Macaca fascicularis: one gene and its partner. The protein of the gene in region 1 purifies or fractionates together with the protein of each later gene. This does not show direct contact. Links are inferred from orthologs where the notes say so. Each region holds a gene or a part of one and is shown on either strand. Other genes may lie near its edges.

Region 1 (3,533 bases):
TTTTGATGATCCCTCTTAAATATCTGAAATACACACCTGACTTTACAAAGCCAGACAATGCTTAGTCTCTTTATCCCCCTCTCAAATCGAACTTCCTAAAACACCTTAACTCTGATTGCCCTCTCAGTCTCCCATGTTCTTCTGTCTCATGCATCTTGTTTCTGTGGCCCACAGATTATCCATTATTCATGTTGCATATTAAATACTTGTTTAGATTTACTGACATGTTTACTAATTTGCTCACCATTTTTCCATCTAATTTCTTCCTTTTGGGTTCCATGTCTTTGATACTGAAGTACATTCTTTAAAAATTATTTTGGCGGCTGGGCGCAGTGGCTCACGCCTGTAATCCCAGCACTTTGGGAGGCTGAGGCGGGCGCATCACGAGGTCAGGAGATCAAGACCATCCTGGCCAACATGGTGAAACCCCATCTCTACTAAAAACATAAAAAGTAGCTAGGCGTGGTGGCAGGCGCCTAATAATCCCAGCTCCTTAGGAGGCTGACTGAGGCAGGAGAATCGCTTGAACCAGGGAGGCGGAGGTTGCAGTAAGCTGAGATCGCACCACTCTAGCCTGGCGCAAGAACGAGACTCCCTTTCAAAAAAAAAAAAAGATGTTGATCTTCGGTCTGTGCCTTCTGCTCTGGATTTTAAGCATCATTTCTGGCAGCTCTCATTCAGGAACTGCCTCTGCAGGTCTTTCAGTGCTCGCCTGTGGAGCTCTGCTCCGGCCTGCGAGTTCTCCTGGCGTTGCCATCCGTGGCCTTTTCCTTTTAATTCTCCATCACCTGTCCTCTGGTAAGCTGCTTGCTATCAGCCTCCAGGTCCACGATTTCTCTTCTGTTGTCCTGCTCTGCCTTCTTGCCACATCCTCTGAGACCTGAATTTCGATAGCTCTACTCTTCAATTATATTATTCTTTTTCAAACCTGGGCGTTCATTTCTAGCGTCTTGCTCTATCCTGTGTCTGACTGTGCCTCCCGCACCTTCTCCCTTCTCTTGCCCTGAGCCCCCTTGAAGGCGCCGGGCCTTTGGCTCCCGCTGTTTCCCACGGTGCCCAGAACCGCGGGTCAGTCCTGACACAGACTCGGTGAGGGCAGGAAGTGGTGCCACGGGGCTGCAGCCTGGCCCACCCGCTCCATCGGCCCAGGGCGGCCCCACCGCTCTCCCGGCCTCACCAGAGTCGGGGCCACGGGAGAGGCTCCCGCGCTGCTCATGACGTCACGGGACTGTGACGCGCCCAGGAGCCCCGCCCCTTGTGTCCCGGGCCGGGGACCCAGGCTCTCTGCGCCGTGACGTCACGGGTCCGGGCGGGCGGGTTGTGCGTCGGCCCAATGGGAGCTGCGCGCCGGCCTCCCCTTTAAGGAATGTTGTGACCTGACGTCACCGGGCGAGTTACCTCCCGCAGCCGCCGCCGCCGTGCTCAGCGCGAGCGCCGGAGCCCTTGAGCGCGAGGCACGGAGCCCCCGGAGCCCCCAAACCGCAGCCACATCTCCGCGCCCCAGAGCCCCGGCCTGCGCGCCCAGCCGGGCCCGCGCGATGCCCTCCGACCGGCCTTTCAAACAGCGGCGGAGCTTCGGTGAGGCCCGGCAGGCGAGCTGTGAGCTCGGGGTAGGGGTGCCGGGGAGGGGGGGTGCCCGGCCGACCCAGACTGCCGCAGGTGACGTCAGCCCCGTGACGTCAGGCTTCGGCTGGACCCTCGGGCTGGGAGGCTGGCTCCGGCCTGGGCGGGGGCTGCCTGCTTCCCCACCACGATAGGTGCCAGGGGCTGTGGGGCCTGACGGCCCCGGGGGCGGGGGCTGGAGCTGGGGCGTGGCCGGGGGCCGCCCCTTGGGGACAGGCAGGCGGAGACGTGGGGAGGACCTGGGCCGGGCCGACCCGGCCTCACGGTCTGGCCGCTGTCCGCAGCCGACCGCTGTAAGGAGGTACAGCAGATCCGCGACCAGCACCCCAGCAAAATCCCGGTAAGTCCTGCGCCCCCAGCCCTGCCCCGGCCCCGCCTCGCGCGTCCCCGACACAACCCCCTGCCCGCCCGCCCTGCTCCCAGGTGATCATCGAGCGCTACAAGGGTGAGAAGCAGCTGCCCGTCCTGGACAAGACCAAGTTTCTGGTCCCGGACCATGTCAACATGAGCGAGTTGGTCAAGATCATCCGGTGCGTGGGCAGCCGCTGCCAGGTGGTGGCTTGGGTCGGGAAGGGAGACGGGTTCCCGCCGAGAAGGGGTCAGGGGTGATGGGACCGGTGGTGGACCCCTGTTCTGGGGCGGCTGGAAAGGTCAAGGTCGGGGCTGCAGTCGGTGCCGGGTCAGAGGTGACAGGTGGGGTGAGGATGGGTGTAAAAGGCTGGGAATCATTCTGGGGGTCAGGGCTACGTTGCCCCGTAGCCAAGCCCCTTACAGCCACATACTCTCCCGCCTGCCTCAGGCGCCGCCTGCAGCTGAACCCCACGCAGGCCTTCTTCCTGCTGGTGAACCAGCACAGCATGGTGAGCGTGTCCACGCCCATCGCGGACATCTACGAGCAGGAGAAAGACGAGGACGGCTTCCTCTACATGGTCTACGCTTCCCAGGAAACCTTCGGCTTCTGAGCCAGCAGTAGGGGGGTCGGCCTGGGAGTGGGGGGGGCCCGGTCAGGCCCTGCCCAGAGAGCTCCTGGTTCCTGAACTGAGCTGCCTCTGCCGTGGTGGGCTGGGCAGGCATGTGCCCCCCTAGTCAGAGGGCAACCCACCTACTCTGCCCCTGGGTGGATCCTGGGCCGGTTGTGTTAGGGTTGTCCCTCTGGGTGCTGGCTGGGATGGGGGAGGGTTGGGAGCAGCCCCCAGCACCCCGCTGTGTGGTTCATCTTTTTTTTAGGCCCCTGCCTGTCTGCCCATCTGCCCCTCACCCACCCAAGGCTCTGCCCACGCCTGGACCTGCCCACCCCTGAAAGACTGGCCCCTGGCTCCCCGCCCCTCGGTCTCCACATGGTGTATGGATCTGTGGTCATTGTCCCTCTGCAGAATAAAGATTGCTCAGGCCTGCCTGGCCCTGTGCCTCCAGCTGCTTGCTTGGGAGTGGGAAGGGTGCTGGTAGGGCTGTCTGCACCATCCCCGGGCTCTGGCGCACAGACTTGTGTTCTGTGGCCTCAGTGCTTGCTGTGGAAACCCACACCTGTGTGTAGTGTTCAGAACATTAGGGGCCACCCCTCTAGGAGTGCAATGCAGATGTGGTCTCAGGGTAGACTTCATAACAAAAAACATTTATTAAGTAGCTACAACCTAACAAGCCCTGCTCACCTGCCTCTTCTCCTTCCTGCCTGGGAGGGGGCTCCTTGGTGTGCAGAGCCACGAAGTGGGGGGGTCCAAGTTGGGGAGCTTCCAGTTCTTCCCCACAGGCCTTACTATCAGCCATGGGTCTCTTGGTACCAGAGACTTGTGACCCTGGACTCGAACCTCTTCTGCCCGAGCACTCGCCTGCTGGCAACTCTGACTGGAGGGCTTGGCCCAGCTTCTGGCCCCTCAGCCCCCTGAGGTCCACAAAGCCCTGTGCCAGCCAGG
Region 2 (2,554 bases), about 57 Mb from region 1:
CTCCCTCCTCACTTCTCAGCCCCCCAGACCCCAGCTCATGGGGGCACATTCTTGTTTCTCTTTCTTACTCAGTGTGTTTGTGAGGGGATCTTAGCTGCACAGTTGCTGCCGCCCCTCCAGTGCAGTGCTGCCGCCTCACTCTCTGGCCATGGGTGGGGTCAGTGTCTGGTGAAGCCTCAGGGAAGAGTGAGGAGGCAGTTTGTCCTCAGTACTTCTCAGGTGAAGTGTCTAGGTGCCAGGTGACTTGTCTCTGAGAGCCACATGATCTCTCTGCTGGTTTGGAGGGGCGGGCAGACTAGACTGACTGGATTCAGCAGCAGGCAGTGTTCCCTGCACATCCCAGCCCTGCAAGTCAGTAAATGGCAGTGTCCCTGTATCCAGAGGAGGACTTGGCCCCCCATAAGCAGGCCACACTCACAGCCTGTAACAACTGACTGCCCCAGTCCCCACTGGGAAGCTCTGGGGGCCCCACCTTTTGCTCCATCTCAGCCCAGCTACTGAGGCTTCACCTCTCCATGCCTTGCTGCATTATAAAAGTGCATGGGGTGAGGACTGAGCCACTCCACCTCTGCCCATGTGCACCTCCTCCACTGTCATTCTCCTGGAGGCCCTGTGTCCTGACCTTCCACTCTACTTTCACCTAGAGGCCGGGACTGCACTCTGTCAAGCAGGTGCTCACATGCTCTCGCCTCCTTGCAGGTGGACAGACTGGATGCCTTGGAGAGTCTGCACAAGCAAGAGGAGCATGTGATGGAGCCGGCCCCTCTCATGTTTGGTAGGTGTCACCTGTAGCCCCCAACCCCCTGGGGAGGGAGAAGGGAGGGAGTCAAAGTCCCACTGCCCTTTCCTGGCTGGGCTTTGAATGAGGATGGGAATAGATGGGTGGGGGCTGGAAGGATCCCACTGGCTGCTGGGTGTGGAGATGTGTACGTCCAGGAATGTTGGCATGGCCACTGTCCTCCCTGCTGTAAGGGTGCCTGCCTTCCGATGGGGCTGCCTGCCTAGCTGTGAACTGCTGCTGTGTCCTGCTGGGCCTGGCCCCTGGGCAGCAAGGCTGTTGCTGGTGTGTGCTGGGAGGAACTTTGCACCTGAGAACCTGCCCAGGGCAGCCTGGCTGTCGAGCAGACTGGAGAGACTGTGGGGTGCTGGGACACTGCTGGGTCAACGCAGGCCTGAGGATGTGGTGTGAGTGTGTAGCATGCTGGTGGGTCTCAAGCCTCCTGCTGAGTGTGTCCCTCCACCATTAATGCCATTCTGGTTTTTTTAGATTTTGATGGGCATGAATGAGACCCAGCTGATTGCACTAAGTAAGTGTCCCATTTGGGGACTAGCTTATCCTCTAGCCAGGCCAGCTTCTCTGGCTGACCACACACTCCTTGCCTCTGGGTGCCTACTCTCTCGGTGCCTCAGCTTCTGGGTGGTAAGGGCTGGTCCTATAGACCCTGCTTCCTGGGCCCCAGCTACTCAGGGTAGCCAGGAGAGGACCCCCATGGGCAGGAAGAGCTCTGCTCATTGTGGGCTTTCCCCCTCTGCAGGCCAGCAGCTGAGGTTGATAGCAGGCCCTGCCAGCTTCCCCTATGGATATGCCTGTGCTCCCAACTTCACCAGCCTCCAATGTACAACTTCTGCGTGTAGTGGGCGCTGTCTCCACCCACTCTACCTGCAGAGTTACTAACTTCTCCAAGGAGTGTGTCACTCCAGCAGCACAGGGGACCGCAGTGGGAGGCAGGGACACCTGGACAATATTTATTTTTGGTGAAACCCAATGATGGCAACCTCTGAGCCATCCTAGAGCCTGGGGAGGCCAGGGTAGAGGCTGACAGCGCAAGACCATCTTCAGCCGCCAGCAGGGTCTGGACTCTGGGCCCTCCTGCTGGAGCCAGGGATTCCTCCTGGGCGCCCCCGACTGGCTGGAGCTGCCCCCTCCAGGCCAGTTTGAAGACTACGTGAACACGTCTTGTTTGGAGGTACCGGACCTCATAACAGGACTCTGAGCCTCCTGGCAATCTGAAATATTAAAGTCGGTTTATCCAGGCAAAGGTGCTCTGCTTGGTGCTGGTGTGGGTGGGAGGGACAGGGGCCAGTTTCCTAGGCCCCGCAGTCCATTAAAGATTTGCTGGGCCCTCTGGGGGTGTGGGACCTGCGCCCAGAGAAGCTGCCTAGGAGAATACAGCCGCTTGCATTTGGGGTCTTTCCGGACCTTGTTCGCTGAATGCAGGAACTCTAAATCCGGGAAAGGTGTGGGTGGAAACCGGCAGGTGAGTCCCAGCCCGTGGCCGCTGCGGGAGGGGGACCCGGCGGCGTAGCCCCTTCTCACTGGCCACCCGCCTTCCTCCTCCAGCTTCGAAACGTTAGAGTTCCTCAGGAACTGGGCTAGCCCCACGTGTTTTCGGGGAGGGTATGCCCCTGGCCTCCGGGATCCCCGGGGATCCCGCTGCTCTCGCCAGTCGCGCAGACCCGAGGCCCGCTTCCCTGCGGAGCGGCATACTGTGCACCTTGACCCATAGCTCGGGGCTGGGCCACGGCTCCGCTTCTCGCAGCCCCGCCTCCCGCA

Evidence for each region. The genes of interacting proteins can lie anywhere in the genome.
Region 2: the proteins of MAP1LC3A (region 1) and CLTCL1 purify together in Homo sapiens (affinity purification with mass spectrometry; 3 studies listed by BioGRID and IntAct, with this or other methods). This does not show direct contact. The link is inferred for Macaca fascicularis from reciprocal best matches to the Homo sapiens genes MAP1LC3A and CLTCL1.

The regions. Positions count from the first base shown.
Region 1 is NC_088384.1:90,598,296-90,601,828, forward strand, and holds MAP1LC3A (microtubule-associated protein 1 light chain 3 alpha), read left to right. Parts: upstream 1-1,387; 5' UTR 1,388-1,538; coding exon 1,539-1,599; intron 1,600-1,907; coding exon 1,908-1,963; intron 1,964-2,046; coding exon 2,047-2,153; intron 2,154-2,422; coding exon 2,423-2,585; 3' UTR 2,586-3,023; downstream 3,024-3,533. UniProt on the Homo sapiens protein: Ubiquitin-like modifier involved in formation of autophagosomal vacuoles (autophagosomes). While LC3s are involved in elongation of the phagophore membrane, the GABARAP/GATE-16 subfamily is essential for a later stage in autophagosome maturation.
Region 2 is NC_088384.1:33,664,007-33,666,560, forward strand, and holds the end of CLTCL1 (clathrin heavy chain 2), read left to right. Parts: intron 1-699; coding exon 700-775; intron 776-1,267; coding exon of another isoform or gene 1,268-1,287; exon of another isoform or gene 1,288-1,307; intron 1,308-1,535; coding exon 1,536-1,675; 3' UTR 1,676-2,039; downstream 2,040-2,554. UniProt on the Homo sapiens protein: Clathrin is the major protein of the polyhedral coat of coated pits and vesicles. Two different adapter protein complexes link the clathrin lattice either to the plasma membrane or to the trans-Golgi network.